Macaca fascicularis: one gene and its partners. Each later gene encodes a partner of the first gene's protein in a complex. Links are inferred from orthologs where the notes say so. Each region holds a gene or a part of one and is shown in the gene's direction. Other genes may lie near its edges.

Region 1 (4,194 bases):
TCCTGTCTCAAAAAAAATAAAAATAAAAACGGAAGAGCACAACATCCATTGCATTAAACTGGCTTTTGGAGGAGGAGGTGGGAATGGGGTTGGAAGTAGGAATACTCAACGGGGTCCGTGACTTCGCTTACAGGAGCCTCAGTTTCCCCACTCTCGGACATTAGAAAATGGAAGAGGGGGAGGGATTGCATTGGGAGTTATACCTGATGTAAATGACGAGTTGATGGGTGCTGACGAGTTGATGGGTGCAGCACGCCAACATGGCACAAGTATACATATGTAACAAACCTGCACGTTATGCACATGTACCCCAGAACTTAAAGTACAATAAAAATAAATAAATTAATTAAAAAAAAAAAAAGAGGCCGGGCGCGGTGGCTCAAGCCTGTAATCCCAGCACTTTGGGAGGCCGAGGCGGGTGGATCATGAGGTCAGGAGATCGAGACTATCCTGGCTAACATGGTGAAACCCCGTCTCTACTAAAAATACAAAAAAAAACTAGCCGGGCGTGGTGGCGGGCGCCTGTAGTCTCAGCTACTTGGGAGGCTGAGGCGGGAGAATGGCGTGAACCCGGGAGGTGGAGCTTGCAGTGAGCCGAGATCACGCCACTGCACTCCAGCCTGGGAGACACAGCGAGACTCCGTCTCAGAAAAAAAAAAAAAAAGAAAGAAAGAAAGAAAATGGAAGAAAGCCTGGGCAAGGGGGCTCACGCTTGTAATCCCAGCACTCTGGGAGGCCGAGACGGGCGGATCAGGAGGTCAGGAGATCGAGACCACCCTGGCCAACGTGGTGAAACCCCGTCTATACCAAAAAATACAAAAATTAGCCGGGCGTGGTGGCGGGAGCCTGTAGTCCCAGTTACTCGGGAGGCTGAGGCAGGAGGATTGCTTGAACCCAGGAGGCGGAGGTTACAACGAGCCAAGATCGCGCCATTGCATTCCAGCCTGGGCAACAGAGCGAGACTCCGTTTTGGGGGGAAGAAATAAAGGACAAAAATATGGAACGCTTCACGAATTTGCGTGTCATCCTTGCGCAGGGGCCATGCTAATCTTCTCTGTATCGTTCCAATTTTAGTATATGTGCTGCCGAAGCGAGCACGACCCGTTGGGTCTACCACCAGCTATTTATAGTCCCCGGAGGAAATTTCTTTACACATACGGCGACTTGTCTCCACTGCTCTAGAGATTCAACCTCTATTTGTATTAGTCCAATGTGTCACGCAACTAACGCAGTTATTAACTGGAGTTGAGAAAGTGCTCGTTATTCTACCAAATATAGCTACAGTGGCTGCTGGGAATTACTGGAAATGCTCGTATGCAAATATCCCCGGAAGCGGGGCGGAGCCTGAGCCGCACCGCCCTCCCAGAAGTCTTTGGGAGGCGGCGGCGCGACTCAGGCGACTGGTTGGTGCCGGGGAAGATGGCCGCGCCTTAGCCGAGGCGCTAGGGAAGTTCGCATAGCGGACGCCCGCTGGGCTTGGTGCACGGGCCGGCCAGGTGAGTGCAGGGCTGCGGGGGCCCGGCGAGGGCGGACGGACCCCTTACCGTGTCACTGGACCCCAGGGAACGCGGCGCGGGTGTGGCGGGCCCTGCGGGGTCAGGGGGCGTGGCCGGGAGCAAAGGCTGCTGGGTAGGCGGCCCGGGGCTCCGGGTTTGCGGCGGAAACTCGCGGGAGGCCTGAGGCCCGCGGGGCGGGGGTCGGGGCGGGGCCTAAGGAGAGTTTGGGGCGGGGTTGAAGGCGCTTGGTTGGATTGTGGGGGGGGGCCTGGAGAGGGAATAGTGTCCCTGGGGTGGAGCCTGGGGACTGGGGGTCTGTAGAGGCAGGGCCTGGAGACTGGGGGTTATCGGTACGGGGCCTGGAGAGGGAATAGGGTCCCTGGGGTGGAGACTGGGGACTGCGGATTTATAGGGGTCTGGAGAGGGTATAGGGTCTCTGGAGATCGGGGGTTATAGGGGCGGTTCCTGGAGAGGCTGAGGCGTCCCTGGGATGAAGCCTGGTAGTTGGGGTTATAGGGGCAGGACCTGGAGAGGTTCTGGGGTCCCTAGGGTGGAACCCGGAGATTTGGGGTTATGGGGGCGGGGCCGGGAGAGGCTACGGGTCCCTAGGATGAAGCCTGGTGTTTGGAGGCGGTAGGGGAAGGGCCTGGAGAGTACATGGGGTCCCCGGAGTGGAGTCTGGGGACTGGGGAGTCTTAGGGGTGAGGCCTGGAGAGCTGGGGGCATTGGAGGCTGGACCTGAACAGTACATGGGACCCCTACGGTGAAGCCAGAGAATTTCGGGTGAGGCCGTAGGCTCAAGGGGTGAATTGAAGTGTGGGAAGCAAAGAGTATCAGCGGCGGGGCTGAAAGACTTTTAGGGGCTTGCGGCGGATCCTTGGGGGTCTGGGGCAGACCCTGAAGAAGTAGGGGGCTGGAGTTAGGGCTTGAGGAAAATGGGGCTGGTGGTCATTCCAGTCTCACTGGGCTTTTGCCTCTGAAGCAAAACAGCCTCCAGATGTCAGGTGCTTAGAAAACCCCGAGGAAATGCTCCCTCTGTTCCCTGTCACACTCAGCCCCCGCCTCGGCCACAGGCATTCCCTGTCACACTCAGCAAGCCCCTTAGCCCCAGCACGCCTGCCCCGCCTTGGCCACAGGGAACCACCCTACTGCTTGCCTGTCTGTGGGTTCTTCCTTCGGGAGAGACCCAGGGTCCGCCTGCCGCCCCCATCATCACTCACCTGGGCCAGTGCAGACCCTCCGCCGCATCTGTCAGCTGTGCCCTTGGCCCCCATGGTCCCTTCCCCAGACAGCCAGAGGGGTCCTGGTGAAACCCAAATAGGTCCCAGCCCTCCCGGGCTCCCACCTTGCTGAGGGTAGAAGCCCACCAGCCCAGGACTGGCCCTGACCTCTCCACGTTCCCCCTCGGCCCCAGCCCCATGGACAGCCGGGAACGCCCAGGCTCTGTCTCGCCTCTGGGCCTTTGCATCTGCCGTTCCCTCCACCGCAGGCCTCCATCGTTTACCCACTTCCGGCCTGGCATGCCCTGGGTGCTCAGCCAACATAGCTGACCCGCCACACCTCCCTCCCGCAGGAGCTGGTGACTGCCCTCATGTGTGACTTGCGGCGGCCAGCGGCAGGTGGGATGATGGACTTGGCCTACGTCTGTGAGTGGGAGAAATGGTCCAAGAGCACCCACTGCCCGTCGGTGCCCCTGGCCTGCGCCTGGTCTTGCCGAAATCTCATCGCCTTCACCATGGACCTGCGCAGCGACGACCAGGGTGTGTCCCCCCCGCCACCCGCTTCCCCTCCCGGCCGCACGGTGTCCTGCCCTGTTCCCCAGGTGCCCGGCACGCTGCCACGCGGGGACTCGGTCTCTCAGGCCTCCCCTCACTCTTCCCCAGCCCTCCTCTGTAACTTGGGTGAGAGCCTCAGCCTTCTGGGGGTACAGAGGGTGGATTCAGTGCTCCCCAAACCTGGGGCCGGGAGACATGAGATCGCCCCGTGTGTGGGATCGAGTGGGGCTGGGGCGGTGGTTGACGGAGGCTTGTTGGAGACACGTGCCCCAGTTTTCCAGACAGCATGTGTCACTGTTTGGTTTTTGAAAGGTACGTGGTGGCTATGCCCATCTTCTCTCCATTGTTCGAGTAATAGGCACTCATAATAGGTGGTCATTAGAGAAAATTAGAAAACCACAGAAAATTGGAATCAAATCAGGGCGATAAAAGGCCCCCATTACCTGCTGTGGAGAGGCTCCCACTGTTCATGTTTTGGGGTCATTTTCTTCTAATCTGGTTTTAAAGACATGGTCATGGCGCCTCACGGGCCTGCTCAGTTCCTGCGGGGGGACAGCCCGTTCCCTGAGCTGTCGACCCGACTGACAGCAGCTCTGTGACCTCCCCGGGGTGGGACACGCACTGGCTTCCCTGGAGCCTGCCCAGGGTCATCATCCTCGCCTCCAGGCCATGGCGCCAGGCCGTGCTGACCATGTCCCGTCCCCACAGATCTGACCCGTATGATCCACATCCTGGACACAGAGCACCCCTGGGACCTGCACTCCATCCCCTCAGACCACCGCGAGGCCATCACCTGCCTGGAGTGGGATCAGTCAGGTGAGGCCCCGGTCCCACGTGGCTGGGGGCGGCGACCCGGATCCCGGAGCAGGGGGCCCGTGTTCCCCAGTCAGTCTGGAGTCCGGCGCTGGGTCTGGAGCCCCTGG
Region 2 (3,500 bases), about 15 Mb from region 1:
GTAATGGCGAACAGAAAGTGCCTAAGTGTCCCACAACATTCAAGTCGGGCCTTCCCCACTCTGGAAGGGATGGTGAGCCAAATGAGGGGCTCTGTTTGAGGCTGGACATTGCTGATGTTAAGTCAGAAAAGGCAAGAACCACGGTCAGTTTGGTTTTGAAATATGTGACAAGTGTAGATGTATACGCCTGCATACACAAGGGATATTTTTGGAAAAAAATGCAAGGTAATGCTACAGTGGCTGGGTCAGAGATGCCCATTTCCTTGTGTGCCCTTTTACGCTGTTTTAATTTGTATCATGTGCCTGCTTAACTCCTTTATCATGTTGGGGTGGGGGTGGGGGGGAGTTGTGTAATCTACTCACTGTGGTTTCCTCAGGGCCCCTGGGTTCCCGCCTGCCAGCCAGCCCACCAGAAACCTGTAGCTGCTGGAGGTGGCGGTTGAGCGGTAGGAATTCTTGTTTTAACAATTAAAGGAGTTAGTAATGTGTGGGAAGTGCTTAGAACAAGGTGTGGCTCCTAGCAAGATCCTAAAAGGGTGGGATTACTCGGTCATAGGCTGTGTTCATGTTTCACTCTGCCAGACAAAGTCCAGCCGTTCCCAAAGTCGGCTGTACCCCCAGAAGTACCTAGTATTGTCAGTGGGGTGCGTGTATCATATATCCATTTGTGGGTTCAGTTTGAGTTTTCCTAATTATTGATAAAGCTGAGAAGCTGAGCATTAGCGCTGACATTTCATTGCACAGTGCCTGTTCCTGTCTTGTAGCCACTGTGCGCTGGGTTCCTGGTCACCTGCACTGCTGCACAGGCATTCTCTGTGTGTTCCAGATACAGCTCCTTGGGGCTTGTGGTCTATGCCTTCTCCCACTTTGTGACTTTCTGCTCTCTTTATGGTGTCTTTGGATTCAAATCGACTGGTTTATTATGTATTGAATTTTTTTTTTTTTAACGGAGTCTCGCTCTGTCACCCAGTCTGGAGTGCAGTGGCGTGGTCTTGGCTCACTGCAACCTCTGCCTCCCGGGTTCAAGCAGTTCTCATGCCTCAGCCTCCCGAGTAGCTGGGACTACAGGCGCATGCCAGCACACCCAGCTAATTTTTTTATTTTTAGTACAGATGGGGTTTCACTGTGTTCGCCAGGCTGGTCTCAAAACTCCTGATCTCGTGATCCGCCCTCGTCGGCCTCCCAAAGTGCTGGGATTCACAGGCGTGAGCCACCCGCGCCCAGCCTATGTATTGATCTTTTAAGCTTTGTGGATTTTATTCGATGAATTCTTCAGTGTCTCCTCTCCCACTCCCATCAGATGGCAGAGTAGAGGTCATTTTAAGTATCAGGAGCAGCTCTTGTTTCACAAGCATCCTGGGTTTCAGCAGGTGGGTGGATATGTACCATGTACACTGGAGGGTTTGGAGCAGACCGCACACCACACACTGGAGGAGGTCGGACAGCGGGTGAGGATGAGCACTGGGCGCCAGGTTGGCCTGGGGAGCAGCTAGGAGACTACATGGAGTGGGGGCTTCAGTGCTGCCAGCTCCTCTTGCTCTGGGGTTGGGGAGAGACTGGAGCAGGCTGGGGTAGCGTGTCCCTGCCTCCCAGGGGAGAAGGGCAGGAACCTGACAAATGGCTTTTTCTTTATTTCCACAGATCCGGAACATGGTGGCGGTGCTGGAAGTCATCTCCAGCCTGGAGAAATACCCCATTACCAAAGAGGCACTTGAGGTGAGTATCCCAGACCCCAGCATTTGGGAGTGCAGAATGGGGGACAGGGGACGGCACCAACCCAGTTCCTTCCCCAGCTTCTAGGAGCGTGTGTCTTTGCTTCAGAGGACCAAGAGAGGCGGTGTGCCCTCACAGCTTGTGCCCCGTGATCTTGCTCTCCTGTGGCCACTGCAGTGACCAAGTGGCATTAATCCCATCCTACCTGCCCAGCACACTTCATGGGCACGTGGGCATGTGGGGACATGGGGACATCAGGAGAGGTGTGCTTGGGGGAGGCTCCAATGAGAGGCGCCGTCCCCAACCCTCCACTTGAAGCAGACCCTCTGTGCTGCCGCCTTGGCCACAGCACCCTCTCATCCAGAAAGCCTCCCTGGCAGTGTCCTTACAGTGGCCTTGACAGCCCCCTGGCACCAGGAGCCTGCGGGACAGCACTGCTGAGAAGCCACCTGGGACTCTGAAGGTCTGGGGACTAGGTTTGAGAATTTATATTGTCACAAAGGACTGGAAATCCCCAGGAGTTTTGTGCCAGGGAGGCTGGCAGTTTAGGGCTCAGTGGGAACCAGGTCATTTCATTGTCAGGGCCATTTCCCACCATTTCTGGCTCAGCTCATGGGGAAGTCCCTGTCCCGAAAGTATGTCATCATCTCTCTTTCTGGTTGTAGGAAACACGACTTGGGAAGCTCATCAACGACGTCCGCAAGAAAACCAAGAACGAGGAGCTCGCCAAGCGGGCCAAGAAGCTGCTGCGGAGCTGGCAGAAGCTCATCGAGCCAGCGCACCAGCATGAGGCAGCGCTGCGGGGGCTGGCGGGGGCCGCTGGCTCTGCCAACGGGGGTGCACACAACTGCCGGCCGGAGGTGGGGGCGGCTGGCCCGCCCAGGAGCATCCATGACCTGAAGAGCCGCAATGACCTCCAGAGGCTGCCCGGGCAGCGGCTGGACAGGCTGGGCAGCCGCAAGCGCAGGGGTGACCAGCGTGACCTCGGCCACCCAGGGCCACCACCTAAGGTCTCCAAAGCTAGCCACGACCCCCTTGTCCCCAACTCATCCCCCCTCCCTACCAATGGCATCAGTGGGAGTCCAGAGAGCTTCCCTGGCTCCCTGGATGGCAGTGGGCATGCAGGCCCAGAGGGCGGCCGCCTGGAGCGTGGCGAGAACGACAAGCACAGTGGCAAGATCCCCATCAACGCTGTGCGGCCGCACACCAGCTCCCCAGGCCTGGGCAAGCCCCCTGGACCCTGCTTGCAGCCAAAGGCTTCGGTGCTGCAGCAGTTGGACAGGGTGGATGAGACTCCGGGGCCTCCCCACCCCAAGGGGCCCCCTCGCTGCTCTTTCAGTCCTCGGAACTCACGGCATGAGGGCTCCTTTGCCCGGCAGCAGAGCTTGTATGCACCCAAGGGCTCCGTGCCCAGCCCCTCACCGCGGCCCCAGGCGCTCGATGCCACACAGGTGCCGTCACCGCTTCCACTGGCACAGCCGTCCACACCCCCTGTACGGCGGCTTGAGCTGCTGCCCAGTGCGGAAAGCCCAGTGCGCTGGCTTGAGCAGCCGGAAAGCCACCAGCGGCTGGCGGGGCCGGGCTGCAAGGCAGGGCTGTCCCCAGCCGAGCCCCTCCTGTCCCGGGCGGGCTTCTCCCCAGACTCCTCCAAGGCGGACAGTGACGCTGCCTCCTCAGGGGGCTCGGACAGTAAAAAGAAGAAGAGGTACCGGCCTCGAGATTACACGGTTAACTTGGACGGGCAGGTGGCTGAGGCGGGCGTCAAGCCTGTCCGGTTAAAAGAGCGG
Region 3 (3,500 bases), on another chromosome or scaffold:
TTAATCCCATACTTCTTGCAGGCTTTGTTCATTTCTTCTTCTTCTTTTTTCTTTTGGTTTCTCTTCTCGCTTCATTTCATTCATTTGATCCTCAATTGCTGATACTCTTTCTTCCAGTTGATCGAGTCGGTTACTGAAGCTTGTGCATTTGTCACGTATTTCTCGTGTCATGGTTTTCATCTCTTTCATTTCGTTTATGACCTTCTCTGCATTAATTACTCTAGCTATCAATTCTTCCACTTTTTTTTCAAGATTTTTAGTTTCTTTGCGCTGGGTACGTAATTCCTCCTTTAGCTCTGAGAAGTTTGATGGACTGAAGCCTTCTTCTCTCATCTCGTCAAAGTCATTCTCCGTCCAGCTTTGATCCATTGCTGGCGATGAGCTGCACTCCTTTGCCGGGGGAGATGCGCTCTTATTTTTTGAATTTCCAGCTTTTCTGCCCTGCTTTTTCCCCATCTTTGTGGTTTTATCTGCCTCTGGTCTTTGATGATGGTGACGTACTGATGGGGTTTTGGTGTAGGTGTCCTTCCTGTTTGATAGTTTTCCTTCTAACAGTCAGGACCCTCAGCTGTAGGTCTGTTGGAGATTGCTTGAGGTCCACTCCAGACCCTGTTTGCCTGGGTATCAGCAGCAGAGGCTGCAGAAGATAGAATATTGCTGAACAGCAAGTGTACCTGTCTGATTCTTGCTTTGGAAGCTTCCTCTCAGGGGTGTACTCCACCCTGTGAGGTGTGGGGTGTCAGACTGCCCCTAGTGGGGGATGTCTCCCAGTTAGGCTACTCGGGGTCAGGGACCCACTTGAGCAGGCAGTCTGTCCCTTCTCAGATCTCAGCCTCCGTGTTGGGAGATCCACTGCTCTCTTCAAAGCTGTCAGACAGAGTCGTTTGCGTCTGCAGAGGTTTCTGCTGCTTTTCTTACTTGTTTTTTAAATAGCAACGTAATATTCCATTGTATGGCTGTACCTTCCTCCATTTAACCAATCTTCTACTGACTCTTAAGTTTCTTCTTAACTTTTTCTCATTTAACCAGTGCTGTGATGAATAATATTATGCCTGAAAAATAGGATAAATTCCTAGAAATAGTATTGCTGAGTCAAAAGCCTTACTGGTTTGTAAGTTTTATAGAAATTATTAAATTTTCCACAAGGGTTATACTAGTTTATACTTCCACCAGCAGTGTTTGAGAGTATCTTTTTATTATAACCTCACAATAGAGTGTTAAGCTTTTTGATCTTTGCTGATCAAAAACATGAGAAATTTTATCTCAGTATAATTTTATTTTGCATTTCTCAGTGATGTTGAACATCTTTCCAAAATTTTTTTAAAAAATTCATTAAACACTTTATAAATTATGATGTGGCCCTCTAATGGAGAAACCAGGAAGAAAATAGGTATTTCCAAATCATTGTTATATGTGCCACAATAGAAGTATGTATGAGAACAGTGGTCATGGAGAGAAGCAGAACATTATAGGCTCTTTTTGGAGATATCCTAGAAGATAAACTTTGATACAGCACAACATTTGACATCATATTTAAAGTTTTGCAAGTCTAGAAATGTGACATGTCATTAGATTCATAATGGGCTCTTCTTTAGGCTCTTAGGGATTAGATTCACACCTAATTCTCATAAGGCTGATACATACTGATCCATAATGAATTTTACTCCCAGTGACAGTAATATTTATATATGCCATAAAGGGCAATGTTTACAATGCCTTACAATGATCTGTGTTAAGAGTTTTCTATTGACCATTGATATGTTAGTTAATTAATACTTTTGAAGGTCCCATGTAATAAAAAGGTAGCATTTTATCTATATAATTGCAAAATTTTAAGCTTAATGTGACAAATACTAAATCTGAACATTTTAATTTTCCTTTTTTAAAAAATTATTTTCATCCACAGATGCTCATAGTGAAGTATTTCATTCATAGTATTGGTATACTTCCAGTTGTAGTATTAGCTATTTCTTATAAAAATGTAACTTTAGACCCCAAATAAAATCATTCTCTAATTTTCCAGGAGTCTCATGAACAGTGTATCCAGTGGATTGTTAAGTTTATTCATGGTCAGCATAGTCCTAAAAGAATTTCTTTTCTTTATGACTGCTTAGCAATGGCAGTTGAGACTGGTCTCCTTCCACCCAGGTACGTTTAATGGGTATGAGCAATCTGACGAATTTTCTTTTCTATATGTGATTGGAAATTGGTTGAGGTTGTTGTTGTGAAAAGATAAGAGAATGAAGAAGAAAGTGAGGTTCATCAAGTAATCCTTTATATAATACCTCAGGTTTTAGTTTTTAGGAGTCATAATCTTTGAATTATATAATGCTTGTGGGCTCAAAATCAGATGTTTCTGCCCAGGTGCTGAGATTAATCTCTTTGATTAGTTTGTAACACTTTACTTTTGCTGCATAACCTCAACACCTCATGGCTTAAAACAATAATACTCAGGTTTTAAAATTATTCATGGTTTTGGTGGTTGACTGGGCTTAAGAGGCACTTTTTCCTCAAGGTCTTAATGATTAATGATCGATGTAGCTGGGGCTGGAGCATGGCAAAAGCTTCCCCACTCAGATATCTGGTGGTTAGTTCCTGGCTGTCATCTGGAACCTCAGCTGAGATTATTAGCCAGAACCTCCACAGGCCCTCGCCTTGTGGCCTGAACTTTCTCACCTCATGGTGGAGCCTAACAGCAAGTGTGCAAAAGAGGGCTAGACAGAAATTGTGTCACCTTGTCTTAGAAGTCATACTGCATTCTTTCGGCCATAGTCTTAGGTCTGCCCACATCTAAGGAGTGAGAACATAGACTTTCCCCCTACCTCTCCTTGGGAGAAATGTCAGTGTCACATTTCAGAAGAAGATGTGGGATCAAAAATCTTGTTGCCACCCTCTTGGAAAAATCCAGTGTACCACAAGGTGATAGATGGTAAACATGTAACTGAAAGCTCCAGATACACTTCTTTCTAGTAAAATATAACGTAGTGAATATTATTTCATTCTTACTTTGTTTTTGATCTTTCATACAAGTAAAGAATGTAAAATGCTATACATATTTATAAGTGTACTTAGTAATAATGCACTTTTATGAAAGATATTTGAGAGGATAAATATAATACAGTCCATAGACTATGGCTATATTAGTCTGTCTCATGCTGCTAACAGAGACATACCTGAGACTGGGTAATTTATAAAGGAAAGAAGTTTAATTGACTCACAGTTCGGCATGGCTAGGGAGGCCTCAGGAAACTTAGAATCATGGCAAAAGGCACCTCATCACACAGGGCGGCGGGAGAGAGAATGGGTGCCCAACGAAGGGGGAATCCCCATGTGAAACCGTTAGATCTTGTGAGAACTAACTCACTATCATGAGAACAGGATCGGGGAAACTGTCCCCCATGATTTAAGTGGTTTTACTCATGACACATGGAGATTATGGGAACTACAATTCAAGATGAGATTTGTGTGAGTACACAGCCAAACCATATTGGTGGCTATTA
Region 4 (3,016 bases), on another chromosome or scaffold:
GAGGTGGGAGAATCACTTGAACCCGGGAGGTGGAGGTTGCAGTGAGCCAAGATCGTGCCACTGCACTCCAGCCTGGGCAACAGAGCAAAACTCCCGTATCAAAAACAAAAAACATTTATTCCTTTTAGGCAAGGCATCATACTCAATATCATGAGGAAGAATAAAGATGTTGGTAACAATTTAGGCGGTGGTAGCTAGAAAAATCTCCCGGTTCTTTTCTTATGTAAAGGTGATTAGTGTTTCTTGCTAGTACAAAAAAATGTCCTTGACAAGACCCTTAAGTCACTGGGTCATATTTGGTCCCCTTAGCATGGTTGTAGCTAAGCTGTGAGGTCGTATTTTCCTGGCTGTGTCAGAGAATGTAATTTTCACTAGTACATTTTATGAGAAGCGCTCAGAACAGCATTTACCGTGAAGCAAGAAGCACCATGTAAATCAACTCTAGTTAATCTGAGAGATTGGAGTGTCTCCTTCATTGGGCTAGAGCAGTTCCTGTCTCTGCCCTATTGGATTTTTGCCTGTTTTTCCCCTTCCCATTGGAAGCTACCATTGTGTTGTATTGTATTTTTCATGTTATTTACTTTTGCTGTTTTTTTCTTTTTTTTTTCTGAGACAGAGTGTCACTGTCGCCCAGGCTGGAGTGCAGTGGCGCAATCTCAGCTCACTGCAACCTCCACCTCCTGGGTTCAAGTGATTCTCCTGCCTCAGCCTCCTAAATAGCTGGGACTACAGGTACGCACTACCACACCCAACTAATTTTTTGTATTTTTAGTAGAGACAGGCCTTCACCGTGTTAGCCAGGATGGTCTCAATCTCCTGACCTCATGATCCGCCTGCCTCGGCCTCCCAAAGTTCTGGGATTACAGGCAAGAGCCACCGTGACTGGCCTGCTCTGTTTCTTTAAAAATAAATTTTAAATTTTAAAATCTGCACTTAAAAATTCCTTATTTAGGTTAATATATAGTCCTTCACTCCCTGGGTCTACTTTGAAGACTGATCTTTTTTATTTTTATTCTGCGTTGTCTAGGTAGCACAGAGCTGACGGGCAGCACGAATCTGATCACACACTACAACTTGGAACAAGCCTATAATAAATTCTGTGGGAAGAAGGTGAAGGAGAAGCTAAGTAACTTCCTGCCTGACCTGCCAGGGATGATTGATTTGCCTGGTTCCCATGATAACAGCAGCCTCCGCTCTCTCATTGAGAAGCCCCCTATTCTCAGTAGCTCTTTTAATCCTATCACAGGGACCATGCTGGCCGGCTTCCGCCTCCACACTGGCCCGGTGAGTCCTGTTGGAGGAAGAAGGCAAATGGGGAGGCCTAAACATGGAGATGGTTTTTCTGTCCAAGTCTGTTCCTTCATAATGGAGCAGAACGGATGATAGGAGCAGGAGAGATTTCCTCCCTCTACTCACCTGGACCTTCCTTTGGTTCCTTCAGTTGCCAGAGCAGTGTCGTCTGATGCATATTCAGCCTCCCAAGAAGAAGAATAAGCACAAGCACAAACAGAGCCGTACCCAGGATCCTGTCCCCCCAGGTAAGAAGCAGTTCTATTCAAACCAAAAAAAAAAACCTGACCTGAATCTGGTTTGAACTTCCATAGGTAAACCCAGTTAAGTTCAGTATGGAGCTCTGGACTCCTAAATTCCCCTGAAGAAGAAACCAGTGTACTGTGGTCTCTTGGGACTTGGGACAGGGACTGTAGCAGCACCTCTGTATCCTTTTTGGCCATTTGGACAAAAGCAGTTGCCCCGACTTGGGATTTTCCTGTAGTCTTCAGTGGTTCATAACAGTAGAGGATTTTGAGCTTTATGGGTGATAGGTACCTAATGTCTCCTACAGAAACACCATCTGATTCAGATCACAAGAAGAAGAAAAAGAAAAAAGAAGAGGATCCTGAACGGAAAAGGAAGAAGAAAGAGAAGAAGAAAAAGAAGGTAGAGTAGAGGCCTATTGCCACAACCCAGTGATTTTCCCTAGATCTCACCCCTGTCCTAAATACCCTAAATAGTTCTTTGCCTCAAGTTGGACCCACAATTGAAAACCCAAGGCAGGTTACAGGTTTCTCCTGTACAGCCTGATCAAAGCCAAGGCTAGTTCCTAGTTGTTCTTACCCCTCCTTCTTTCTCTCCCAGAACCGGCATAGTCCAGACCACCCAGGTATGGGCAGCTCCCAAGCCAGCAGCAGCAGCAGCCTACGCTAACAGGACCACTGGACTCTTTGCCAGGATGGCTTTTCCTGCTGTACTGAACCTGCTGACAAAAGCTGCCTTCCAGGCTCTTGGACACTGCCTTGGGAGCATCCTGCAGCTGGGACAGAGACCAGCTCCTGTTGGGCTCAGTTGAGACTAAGTACATTAGGAGAGAGAGGGACATGCTTTTGTAGGCTCATCCCAGTTGGTTTTCTCATGGACATCTCCCAGGAAGCTTACAATTTTCTTCTCTCTCTGTTGTGCAATTTGTCTGATTTAGGACTTGTTCTGTTTTTTCTTAAAAAAAAATTACATTTATCAAATTGGCTGAAGTGTGACTGCTGTTAAGAGGTATGTTCTGTGAGTCAGGATTTAAGACAAGGCATTGCTAAGACTTGAGGGGATTTGGGTCTTGTTGTTACATTATGCAGGGAACCAACCAAAATGAAAAATGACCCAAGCTTACTAATACTCCACAGCAGACACAGAACACTCTGCCCGTTATGTTAAGAACCAGGCGCCTGGGTGATCTCAGGCTCCATCTGAAGAGCTGATCCAGGTAGGGCTCAACAGTGTATTCTAGGTCAATTTTGTGTTGAAACAGAATAGCCAACTGAAAACACATGGACAGTCACCCATGTATTTCAACAAGATTGGTTTCTTAGGTCAGAAGCCTGTGATCTTTTGAAATGAACTTCTGGCAAGCAAAGGTAAATGCTTCTCTTTTCTTTACAATAACTTTTGACCTGCTTCACTCCTTAGTTAAGACAATAAAGTTACTTAGCTGATGTGAAAACATTTCTAAAACAGCAACAAAATGTAA
Region 5 (4,221 bases), on another chromosome or scaffold:
CCACTATCATTAGGTCAAAGAGTTGACGACGCGGATGACACGTCAGTAAACAAAACAAAGCAAAAAGAGTTACTCCTTTAGCTCCCCGAGGAAACTGCAGACCGCGTCCCATAGTCCGCAGGGGTACCATAGTCGGGCCTTCCGGGCTGGGCTGGTCCCTGCCGAGGCTACGCAGCCCGGCCACCCCCAGACCCAGAGGAGGCCAACGCCACGCCTGCCCGCCGGACCCTCCCCCTCGGATCTCAGGGCCCAGTGCTGCGTCCGCCCGCCCCTCACCTCCGGCTCGGGGCGCTCCGAGGCCATCACACAAGCCCTCCCGCGCCGGCCCGGGCCCGTGTGTTCCACTCTTGACCCCTGACCTGGCTACCTCGGCACCCGGAAGGAACAGGAAGTGGGTGGGAGGGCCGAGTTCCAGTTTTCTGATTGGTGGACGAAGCCTTCTCAGAGGCGTTTGCTGACAGGAAACCGGAAGTGGAAATCGTTGCAGTCGCCTCGGCCGCCGCAATGCAGGTGAGAGCCGCGTTGGGAGTGCTAGCGGCTGGCCAGCTTCGGCTACAGGGAGCCAGAGTGGGCTGGCTAAGGAGAATGAAGAGTTGGGACTGAGAAAAGAGGGCAGAACCCACGGCTGATAAGGGAACGTGGGTTGGGGGGCGAGGTTAATTGGAGAGGGAGCGGCGCAGATGAGAGGTGGGGGTGGAGCTCGCCTGACAGAAGGCGGTCGGGCTAAATCCGGAGGGAGGAGGCAGCACTGACTTGCTTGGCGTGGGAAAGGATTAGGTTGTAATACGGGGAGGCCGAGATGCAGTCCAAGGAAGACGGCTCAGGAGGTGGTGGGTTGGCTCAGGCCCTGTCCTAAGCTGCTGGATGGAGGCTGTTGGATGCCGATATAGCAGGGGATCTAATTGGAAAGAAGCCCAAGCAGTGAGGGAATTGTGGGCCGCGGTGTCCGAAAGCTAAGCAGCTTGTAATGTGAGGCCATGGTGGAACCCAGGATCAAGTTCCTGTCAGGCACCTTAGCAGGTTTGCAAGACAGTTTTGCATCACTCTTCCCAGCCTGTGCCCTATAGTTGTTAAGGGTGAAGAAATGGAATAAAACAGGATACCACCGATGGGAAGGAAATGCTTTGCAGACCCCCGGCATTTTAATTTGTTTGTTCAGTGCTTAGAAGCATGTGCGGTTTTGGTTTTCATTTGTCACTTAGTTTCCTGCAGCTGGTAGTCTCAAGAAATGTTATTGGGTTGACCGAGCTTGTGAAAGAGGCACGGGAATATTGACACAGAGATAGATGGGTGCATATTAATTCAGCGAGGAGAAGGTTGAAACATGAAATGATGAGAGCAGATGGAAAGCTGGAGTGGTTGGTGGGGGGAGGGAAAGAGGAGAGCAGGGCTGGTATTCAGAGAAGTCTTCATGAGTAGGCAGATTTCCCAGAGACTGACAAGAGAGCCAGGCTCACAAATGCTAGGATGGAGGAAGCTGGAGTGCATGTGCTACAGAGGTGCACATGAGATAATGATCTGGCATTAGGTTTGTCGAAAATGTCTCAATGAGGGAGTGTAGGGTGTACCTAATACAGAGAAAAACCAGGCATAGATTAGGAGCGGATGGGAAAAAGGAATCAGTTGGTGGAAGTACTTGGGTCAGGCAAACGGTTGAAAGGTCTCAGGGTTGATGCTGTCTATAACCCAAATACCACAGATAGGAAACAACCTGGTTATCCTATGCCAATGAGATCCTGTTACCTGACTGGTGTTTGCACACCATCTCCTTGGCTTTTCAGCCCTCCTTTCTATGTGTCATACTCGTTTATCTGGGTAACCAACCTGTTCCTATTGGTGCAGAGAGAGGAGAAGCAGCTTGAGGCATCATTAGATGCACTGCTGAGTCAAGTGGCTGATCTGAAGAACTCACTGGGAAGTTTCATTTGCAAGTTGGAGAACGAGTATGGCCGGCTGACCTGGTAAGGGTTGCCAGGGCAAGCTAGGGAGGGCTTATGGGTGGGGGGGCCTAGCCTTCTGATGAATAGGACACTTCTAATGATGTAACCATTTATCAGTTTACAAACATCTTTTGATTTGGAAAGAGCTGGGTTTCGTAACATTTAGCAAGTGGCTTCCATGGCAAGGAAGTAGAGAAATGCTCGGTTTCCTAACCCAAGTTCATTATAGCTTTCAATTCTTACCCTTTGACTTCTCTGGTGAGGAGGTCCTCCTATTACAGCTCTATTTGTGCTGGATCTCTTGCCACAAATATGGCTGAGTCCTTTAGATCCAACCTACTCTGAAGTGTGGATCCTATTTCCAGGCTGGAAAGAAGGATTTTACCGGGTTTCTGAAGTTTTAGTTATAACAGTATAGTCCTATTTTGCCACTGTTCCTCACCTCATTCAAACAATGAACTGGATTTTTTCTACATCTGTTTCATAAACTGAAACTATGTCCCTCTTTCATAACCCTGTCATCCTTGTTAGTTTCTTCCCACTTAGGCTAGTCATAGGGCTATGAGACTTTTGGGGATAAATCCGAGTGTTCCTAGCCTGAAGGAACTAGGACTATTTTACTAAGAACCACCCAAGGAAGGGGTGGAACATTCTGACACCTGCTTACTGCCAACAGGCCATCTGTCCTGGACAGCTTTGCCTTGCTTTCTGGACAGTTGAACACTCTGAACAAGGTCTTGAAGCATGAAAAAACACCGCTGTTCCGTAACCAGGTCATCATCCCTCTGGTGTTGTCTCCAGACCGAGATGAAGATCTCATGGTAAGAGCAGAAAAAGAATACAACTTGGGAAATTAAGGAGTTTTTTAGGCTTCTTTACTATTTAGGGAAATTAAGTTCTTAGCTGAGAACTTAGAAATAATTTTGGAGGCCTTGCTTTTTGTTCTTCTGAAGGTGGGAGAGCCACTCCCAAATAGTGTTGTAATAACCTGAGGGGTATGTCACCAAGGCTGGTACCTTCCTTCTCCAACATCTGTCTCAAGCCACAAAGTCTGCCCTTTGGTGACTTTGTCTGTTTCAGTCTTTGAAACGTGGCAGACAGTGATAGTTTAATTTGCCTCTAGGTCTGGTAGAGATAGGGATGTGAGAAGACACAAAAAATGAAGGCTGGAGTAAAGGAGATTGTGTCCTAGGAAACTAGATATTATGTCTTAGGTTGTATTTTCCTTGAAAATGCACTGTTTGCCTGTGGATGGGACTGTATATCAGGCCAGATAGAATCTTCTTGGAGTGCATAGTAGGATCAATAAAATCTGTGTGTTGCAGCGGCAGACTGAAGGACGGGTGCCCGTTTTCAGCCATGAGGTAGTCCCTGACCATCTGAGAACCAAGCCTGACCCTGAGGTGGAAGAACAGGAGAAGCAACTGACGACAGATGCTGCCCGCATTGGTGCAGATGCAGCCCAGGTTGGACTGAGTCACTGCCTTGCTGCCCCATCCCCATCCCATCATGAGAAGCTAGGCATTACCATTCCTGTCTAGTAGGGATGCATAGTTGGTTGCACCTAAGCTGCTTCTGGCAGAACCCAAGGAATAAATTTGTCCATATCGTTTCCTAGTTACCCTAATCTCTGCACAAATTTGTGTGTTACAGAAGCAGATCCAGAGCTTGAATAAAATGTGTTCAAACCTTCTGGAGAAAATCAGCAAAGAGGAGCGAGAATCAGAGAGTGGAGGTATGGTGGACTGGTGGCAAAACAGAGAAGGAGAGGTATATAAGATCACTGGAATGGGAATGGTTGTTTCGAGAGTAGTGAAGTTAGGACACAAGAGTGAACTGCTTTAGGGTTTGCATCCATTCTGTTAGCCTTTTGTATTTAAGGCCAACCCTGAAGCAGTGGAGGAAATGGGCAAAGTAAGAAGAGAGAATTCTGAGATAGGCTTGGGGGTCCTCTGGCTCTTTTTATGGGCTGTGAGGGAGTCTAGATGCTGCTGAATTCAGAACTCTAAACCCTGGCACTCATACTGGTCTTCCAGCTGCCACGTTCAGTCCTGCATCAGAAACATACTTCAGGATCCCCACTTACTTTTTCTTCAGGTCTCCGGCCAAACAAGCAGACCTTTAACCCTACAGACACTAATGCCTTGGTGGCAGCTGTTGCCTTTGGGAAAGGACTGTCTAACTGGAGACCTTCAGGCAGCAGTGGTCCTGGCCAGCCAGGCCAGCCAGGAGCTGGGACGATCCTTGCAGGAACCTCAGGATTACAGCAGGTGCAGATGGC
Region 6 (2,971 bases), on another chromosome or scaffold:
TTTAGCATCTTTTGAAGATATTTGTTTGAAACATTTTTTACTGTGGTGATTTTCGAATTCTGTCATTCTGCATTTATTAGTTTGGAATTCGATTGTAAGGCAGTACATTCCCTTGTTTTCTATTTATTATTTTATTAAAGAAATTTACATCCATTTAGTATTTTATCCTGTGAATTAGAATTATGTATTTTCTTGCTCTGAGTATTCTAGATTTGGCCATTGGGAGTCCCTTCAAGTTGGTTCCTGAATACTTTTGATCGTCCCAATAATTTTTAGCACTTTTTCTTCTGGCACTACGTAATGTTCCAGGCTCATCTTGTACTTTCCCTCTCTTATCCCTGAATCACCCTTTTCTCCAAGGAAACCTGCTCCTTGGATACCACAATCTGGACATTGTGTGTTCATTAGTACCACAGTGTCATTGCTTCTAGGCCCTCTCAGTACACAAAGCTCAAGAACTCTATGTTTGTATGTGTATCCATGCACACATGTATACATCTGTTTATCCTGTCTACCTATATTAAAAGCCCTAAGTACATACTAATGTTTTCAATACCAGCTCAGTAACACAGGATTCATTCTAGCCTTTTTCCTTTCCTTGTCGAAATTTGGCTGTCCTTATCCACAGTATATTTACTTGTCCAATCCTAGAGTATATCTAATTTCAGAGTTGGTATATCCCTGTGGACAAGAAGAGTATAATGTATGTGCATAGTTCTCTTTCAAACCAACTCACTTTTAAATGAAAGTTGTCTTTTTATCACTATTGATGGAAAAACAAAGAACTATCAATTAAACACAGAATTAGTAAAATATGTTCATGTTCTTCACGTTGGAAACCACTAGAAGGGAATAGCATGGTTTGTCCCTACATTTTCACTCTGCTTACCAGTTACTGTGTTGTGTGGTCCTGAGCAAGTTTAAATTTAATCTTTCTGAACTTAAACCTTCTCACTTTCGAAAATATTGCTGAACACTGACCTTTGATGACCAATCAGGGAAAACACCCTATGCTGCCAGTGTGTACTAAGTTAAAGAAATGGTAGGCTACAAGATCATTTTTAAGAGAATAACTTAATTAGACCTTGGCATTATTTACTTAAATTATGTTGTTCATTTACTTATAAACTTAAACCCAGGTACCCTCAGTGTTTACACATGTTAGAGCTGCTCCAATACGAACACTTCCGAAAGGAGCTGGTGAATGCTCAGTGTGCGAAATTCATTGATGAACAGCAGATTCTACATTGGCAGCACTATTCCCGGAAGCGGATGCGCCTTCAGCAAGCCTTGGCAGAGCAGCAACAGCAAAATAACACATCGGGAAAATGAAAAACCGGATACAGATGAGGCTCTCAATACATGTATATAATGTATTTCTTTTGTACAGTGAAGACAAAAAATGAAAACTCTTCCTATCTACCTTTATTATGGTAGCCCCTAGAACCTTTAGTGTGCTTTTTAATCCAACTTTTTATTGTTAATAGACTATTTCTTTTAAACCTGAATTGGTCTACTTTGATTTCCCTGTGGATTTGTAAGGTGTTTTCTTTTGTATGCATTTAGCATAGTCAGCTGATTAAGAATGGAAAAGTTAGGTGCTTTAGACCAAATGAGGCACTGGGGCATGGGGTAGGGGTGGGCCACCAAGTATACTGAATTCTAAGGCTAGCTCTTCCTGACATATAGTAGCGCAAGGCCATCTCCTGGAACCTTACTGTCTCTCAGATCAACTACTCTACCACTCTTATCTATGTAGTGAGAGTAGCGGAGTCAGTGACCTCTTGAAATCACAGGATAGGAACTGCATAAAGGTTCTCAAATTCTGCAGGACAGGAAATCCCTGTATTACCTGCTTTGCAAGGTGGCTTTAAGAATCACTGTGGCCTCATTTGACCTAGTCATGGCAGGACAACTAGTGGTTAATTACTAATTGGACTCTTGACTTTAGAACAAACATGAGGAGCCTCAAATACTTGTGCTCATTTGGGAAAACTAACATTGATTTGGGAGGTACCACATACCAGGTGCTATGTTAAGTGCTTCCTTGAATTCTCATTTTATTCTCAGAACCTTGTTTACAGAAGAGAAAACTGAGGTTTGGATGGGGCGGGTAACTTGCCTGTGGTTACACAGCTAGTAAGTGGTAGAATCAGTGTGACTGACTCCAGCTTGGAGTTCTTCCCACCACTGGGTTACACAGTCTTTCCAGCCCCTCTCCGCCACCTGCCTAATCCCAAGTAAAGCACATTGAGAGAGCCGCAAAACGAACTGCCTCTAGTGCTCAGGATCGGTTTCTTCATGAACAAAACAAAACTGCCTGAATTAAGCAGAGGCTGGATTAGAGGTAATATGCTTCCTTCAGTGGTGAGGTTAGGTTCTACGTTCCAAAATCAAAGAAGGGGTTTCAGGAATATCAGTTGCTTTGCAGATGCAGATAATTTAAAATAAAAGATCCTGATCTTTTGAAAGATTTGGAAGGTGTGCTCTGCGCCTTTAGGAGTTTTTAGGTATTTCCGTCACCTTCAATGATACATTCCTTTGAGCCTTTACTGCTACTTCTGAAGACTTGTTTATATCTTAAAAATATCCATATATTACAGGCAAACTAAAGGTTCATGGGCATTTTAATAGCACTCTACTGTTTAGACACATGCCAGTTTTTTAACCTCATTTATTGCTAACATGTATTCAAAGCAATATACAGTTTATTGATACTAGAACAAATCAGGAAATCAAGACATGATTGCCATCATAAAATCTTAATCTTCAGAGAACAACATTTCCACCAGGTTGGCCTGAAGACACTCAGATTCTACCAGTTTTTGAGGCTGTAAGAGAAGAACAGTCAAATCTTCACTACTCCTATAAAACGTTATTAGGAGTGGAATAGGTTCTGCCTTGAATGACACTAATCTTTGAACACAGAAATTATGCAATTCAGAAACTATCAACTAGTTATAACAAGTTT
Region 7 (4,114 bases), on another chromosome or scaffold:
ACACAGCCGTTGCTATGAGTGAATTAATTAATTAATTAATTTATTTATTTATCTTTGAGACGGAGTCTTGCTCTGTCGCCCAGGCTGGAGTGCAGTGGCCGGATCTCAGCTCACTGCAAGCTCCGCCTCCCGGATTTACACCATTCTCCTGCCTCAGCCTCCCGAGTAGCTGGGACTACAGGCGCCTGCCACCTTGCCCGGCTAGTTTCTTGTATTTTTTAGTAGAGACGGGGTTTCACCGTGTTAGCCAGGATAGTCTCGATCTCCTGACCTCGTGATCCGCCCATCTCGGCCTCCCAAAGTGCTGGGATTACAGGCTTGAGCCACCGCGCAGGGCCGCTATGAGTGAGTTTATTTAACACGAATTTCTGAAAGACTTGTCAACTCTGGGTGCCCAGGAGTCAAGTTTAGCACCTCCAAAAAGAGCAGAGGATGAGACCATGAAATGAAAGGACCACAGGTACGACTGCCTCATGGGAGTCAGGCAGTCCCCGACCGTCTTTTATAATAATGTAGACCATTATGTGATTCCCTCAAAGTCTTAAAAACCACTTCATAGAAGCTTCTCATTGCTGCTTGAAAAACATCATGCCCAGGGCCGGGCACGGTGGCTCACGTCTATAATCTCAGCACTTTGGGAGGCCGAGGTGGGCAGATCTATTGAAGTCAGGAGTTCGAGACCAGCCTCGCCAACATAGCGAAACCCTGTCTGTACTAAAAATACAAAAATTAGCCGGGCGAGGTGGCACACGCCTGTAATCTTAGCTATTCGGTAGACTGAGGCAGGAGAATATCTTGAACCCGAGAGGCGGAGGTTGTAGTCAGCCGAGATTGCGACAATGCACTCCAGTCTGGGCAACAGAGCGAGACTCGTCTCAAAAAAAGAGGAAAGACGGAAGGAAGGAAGGAAGGAAGGAAGGAAGGAAGGAAGGAAGGAAGGAAGGAAGGAAGGAAGGGAGGGAGGGAGGGAGGGAGGGAGGGAGGGAGGGAGGGAGGGAAAGAAAGAAAGAAAAAACAAAACATTAGGCCCAGGAGAATCAGACTGCGGAAGGAAGGAAAAGAAAGAAAAAACAAAACATTAGGCCCAGGAGAATCAGACTGCATTGCACTCCCTGTTCTCAGTTCAGCCCTTGCTCCCAGGGTTTGGACCCAAAAGCCCTCGCTGGCCCAGCAGATGGCGCCGGTGCCCGCAGTGCGCCCCTCCGGGCGCAAAGGGGGCGCCCTCGCCGGGCCTCTTCTTCCTCTCCTGGATGACTCTTCCGCCTTCCGAGCCCGCCTCCTCGCCACGCCCCTGCGTCAGCGCGCTCAGCGCGTGCGCCGGCGGCGGGGCTGTGAGGAAAATGGCTGCGTCTTCGAGTGGTGAGAAGGAGAAAGAGAGGCTGGGAGGCGGCTTGGGAGTGGCAAGTGGTAACAGCACACGAGAGCGGCTACTGTCTGCGCTTGAGGATTTGGAGGTCCTGTCTAGGTAATGCTGCGATCCTGAGAGCCGGGCTGGAGCTAGGCCGGGGGACTGACCCCCGGAGCCGGCCGGCCCAGCGTTTGTGCTCGTTCTCGGGGTTCGGCGGGGAGGGCCAGCTCGGGAGTTTCGGGTGCACCAGGGTCACGGACGTGGGGTCCGCAGTCTTCCAGCACTCTGGACGGCGGTTTTTCCCGTTAGAGGGAATTTTAGTAATGATAAGAACTCGCGCGGTCTGAGCCCCTTCGTCCACAGCCAGCCACTTAACATTTATGGAACGCCCCTTGGGTGCCAAGCACTAGGGAGACAGTAGTGCAGGGTAGGCTGAATGCCGGCTGTCGAGAGAGAGAGACAGATGTGTAAACTGCCTTGAAGCCTGTTTTTATTAGAGCGCTGCGCTGCGGGGTACTGGAGCACAGGGGCTAGGCACCTTTTCTGGTTGTAATCAGGGCAGGCCCTCTGAAGAAACGGCTGTTTGGGAAGCGTGAGCTTGCCAGACTCACTAGGCAGCACAGGTAGATGGAACAGCAAGTGCAAAAAGCCTGGCTTGGTGGAGTTGCAAGTTTTGTATCAGAGATAGGAGATGAAATTAAATGTCATTCTTTATATTCTGTCACCTTTCATGATAAGTCAAGTTGAAGCCTTCCTTGACTCCCTCCCATTGACGTGGATGGTAAATTATCTTGGTTCTACCTCCTAAAATGTTGCTCACATTTGTCCTCTCGTTCCTACCCCACTGTTCATAACTACTCTTAAATGCAGCCTCCCAGTTTTAATTGCCTCATGCTTCTGCACTGTATCCTTTTATATTGGCCAAGATCAGTTTTAAAAGGCATGTTATATTACTTTTCTGCAGAAAAATGATATAAAACCTACCTCATTGGTAGATTTGCGTTGTCCAGTGAGGTAAAGTTCAAATTCTTTAGTCAGGCTTCCACATCTTCAATGCCATTCCCAATCTTCCCCCGATTTGGTGAATGATTCATATATCCTTCAGATTCCAGCCCAAATGTCACTTTTTCTGTAGCCAACATTCTTTGACAACTTTAGAATAAATCTTATCTGTTGTATTTTAAAATATACCTGATATAATCAGCACTTTATCTTTGGTGTAAATTTAGTCCTTGCCATAGTATTGCTACCAAGTTACCAGGTCAGCACAATATTTAATGATGGAAGAAAACCCTAAAACAAATAGACTCCAGAAATTAAATGACTTATGTGTTTGATCCACTGTTTAAAATAAACTGTATTATGGCCGGGTGTGGTGGCTCACGCCTGTAATCCCAACACTTTGGGAGGCCGAGGCGAGCGGATCATTGGAATTTCTTCACAGAATGAAGCTGCTCTGGTGGTGTGACTGGCTTCCAGAAAAGTCTCATGTGCTCACTCAGACATAGTTATGTGTGCTGATTCTGTGATCTGTGTAATTTGTCAGTCTCTGAATGTAATTTGTGTCTGGCTTGCATTTATGGAAATGAGAAGAAAATTCACGAATGTACCTTACATATTTTTAGGTTGAGCCTCTTGGCTTTAAAAAATAGTGGATTTATAACTTAGGATCTTTTTTTTTTTTCTATTAACCTGATTATGTACCCTTTCAGGATATTTATTACTTTGTAAAATGTAATGCAAGGAGACAGTCTTAAACAATTGAAACACAGGTTGTAGTCTAAACGTTTTTCTTAACCCGTTTGTAACTGAAAACTCACGGAATCATGTTGATAGGAGTCTTGAGGTTTCCACACCAGCCTGTTAATTCTCTTTACCTGAAAAGTGTATTACCACTAATAATGTAGGCTCTAACCCCTATGGAAATTTTATTTCTATGGGGAATTGTGGCTGGATTCTAATGCAGTATGCCAGGAATGCACCTTCCTTGTAGCAGGACAGGGCTCTTACTTCCACATCTTTAACCAGAGAGTGAGTATGGGCCTTCCTTTGGCCTCTTTTTCACAAATGGGGAGGACAGAGGTTTCTACTTCGTCTTGGACTGTTACAGAACATGACTAAGTCTTAGAGACTTCTACCTCCCCTCTACTCCTGTGTCAGAGACTTCTACCTCACCTGTACTCCTGTGCCTATGGCAAGCCTTGTAAAGCCTTCTGTGGACTCATACTCCCAGATTTGCAAGAACAGAGGAAGGCTTATCCCACATCTCCTACCATAGCCCCACTCCAGTCAGCACCACCCCTGCCCCACCTGAAACCAGCTTTTACTTAGACTAGAGGTTCTCAACAGTTTGTGTCTCAGTGGCATACACGAAAAAGTTTACGTAACATGCTGTTTTCATACACTGTTGATCCATCAGCAAGTCCTGATAGCTCTACCTCCAAAAGATATCTGAAATCTGTCTATGTTTCTCCCATCACCATTACTAAGTCCTGGAGGCTATGACCTAGTCAAAACCAGTCATTTTTTGCCTGGAACACTACAAAAACCACCTGTTCTGGCCCTTTTACAGTCTATTTACCAAATCGCTCAGCAGTTTTTAAAAGTGTAAATCAGGTCATGCCTTTTCCCTGTTTAAAATGATCCAGTGGCTTTTCATTGAATATGGAACGAAACATTAATCTTTACCATAACTGTAAGGTCCTACATAATCTTACCCCTAGCCACCTGGCTGCTATATCCTCACTTTGCTTTCCTCTCCCCAGT

Evidence for each region.
Region 2: MED16 (region 1) and MED26 share a complex: the UniProt entries of both Homo sapiens proteins name them as parts of the mediator complex. The link is inferred for Macaca fascicularis from reciprocal best matches to the Homo sapiens genes MED16 and MED26.
Region 3: MED16 (region 1) and MED23 share a complex: the UniProt entries of both Homo sapiens proteins name them as parts of the mediator complex. The link is inferred for Macaca fascicularis from reciprocal best matches to the Homo sapiens genes MED16 and MED23.
Region 4: MED16 (region 1) and MED19 share a complex: the UniProt entries of both Homo sapiens proteins name them as parts of the mediator complex. The link is inferred for Macaca fascicularis from reciprocal best matches to the Homo sapiens genes MED16 and MED19.
Region 5: MED16 (region 1) and MED8 share a complex: the UniProt entries of both Homo sapiens proteins name them as parts of the mediator complex. The link is inferred for Macaca fascicularis from reciprocal best matches to the Homo sapiens genes MED16 and MED8.
Region 6: MED16 (region 1) and MED31 share a complex: the UniProt entries of both Homo sapiens proteins name them as parts of the mediator complex. The link is inferred for Macaca fascicularis from reciprocal best matches to the Homo sapiens genes MED16 and MED31.
Region 7: MED16 (region 1) and MED4 share a complex: the UniProt entries of both Homo sapiens proteins name them as parts of the mediator complex. The link is inferred for Macaca fascicularis from reciprocal best matches to the Homo sapiens genes MED16 and MED4.

What each region holds. Positions count from the first base shown.
Region 1 is NC_088393.1:1,454,786-1,458,979, reverse strand, and holds the start of MED16 (mediator of RNA polymerase II transcription subunit 16), read left to right. Parts: upstream 1-1,394; 5' UTR 1,395-1,496; intron 1,497-1,624; exon of another isoform or gene 1,625-2,279; intron 2,280-3,069; 5' UTR 3,070-3,087; coding exon 3,088-3,256; intron 3,257-3,979; coding exon 3,980-4,087; intron 4,088-4,194. UniProt on the Homo sapiens protein: Component of the Mediator complex, a coactivator involved in the regulated transcription of nearly all RNA polymerase II-dependent genes.
Region 2 is NC_088393.1:16,912,935-16,916,434, reverse strand, and holds part of MED26 (mediator of RNA polymerase II transcription subunit 26), read left to right. Parts: intron 1-1,641; coding exon 1,642-1,716; intron 1,717-2,378; coding exon 2,379-3,500. UniProt on the Homo sapiens protein: Component of the Mediator complex, a coactivator involved in the regulated transcription of nearly all RNA polymerase II-dependent genes.
Region 3 is NC_088378.1:35,595,750-35,599,249, reverse strand, and holds part of MED23 (mediator of RNA polymerase II transcription subunit 23), read left to right. Parts: intron 1-2,023; coding exon 2,024-2,148; intron 2,149-3,500. UniProt on the Homo sapiens protein: Required for transcriptional activation subsequent to the assembly of the pre-initiation complex. Component of the Mediator complex, a coactivator involved in the regulated transcription of nearly all RNA polymerase II-dependent genes.
Region 4 is NC_088388.1:15,900,230-15,903,245, forward strand, and holds the end of MED19 (mediator of RNA polymerase II transcription subunit 19), read left to right. Parts: intron 1-1,027; coding exon 1,028-1,284; intron 1,285-1,441; coding exon 1,442-1,538; intron 1,539-1,843; coding exon 1,844-1,938; intron 1,939-2,136; coding exon 2,137-2,205; 3' UTR 2,206-2,516; downstream 2,517-3,016. UniProt on the Homo sapiens protein: Component of the Mediator complex, a coactivator involved in the regulated transcription of nearly all RNA polymerase II-dependent genes.
Region 5 is NC_088375.1:191,388,016-191,392,236, forward strand, and holds the start of MED8 (mediator of RNA polymerase II transcription subunit 8), read left to right. Parts: upstream 1-1,421; 5' UTR 1,422-1,605; coding exon 1,606-1,961; intron 1,962-2,616; coding exon 2,617-2,761; intron 2,762-3,265; coding exon 3,266-3,406; intron 3,407-3,593; coding exon 3,594-3,675; intron 3,676-4,037; coding exon 4,038-4,221. Other genes in the region: KICSTOR complex protein SZT2, read right to left, coding at 277-303. UniProt on the Homo sapiens protein: Component of the Mediator complex, a coactivator involved in the regulated transcription of nearly all RNA polymerase II-dependent genes.
Region 6 is NC_088390.1:6,686,294-6,689,264, reverse strand, and holds the end of MED31 (mediator of RNA polymerase II transcription subunit 31), read left to right. Parts: intron 1-1,139; coding exon 1,140-1,332; 3' UTR 1,333-2,471; downstream 2,472-2,971. Other genes in the region: TXNDC17 (thioredoxin domain-containing protein 17), read right to left, coding at 2,763-2,831. UniProt on the Homo sapiens protein: Component of the Mediator complex, a coactivator involved in the regulated transcription of nearly all RNA polymerase II-dependent genes.
Region 7 is NC_088391.1:27,212,684-27,216,797, reverse strand, and holds the start of MED4 (mediator of RNA polymerase II transcription subunit 4), read left to right. Parts: upstream 1-1,314; 5' UTR 1,315-1,340; coding exon 1,341-1,465; intron 1,466-4,114. UniProt on the Homo sapiens protein: Component of the Mediator complex, a coactivator involved in the regulated transcription of nearly all RNA polymerase II-dependent genes.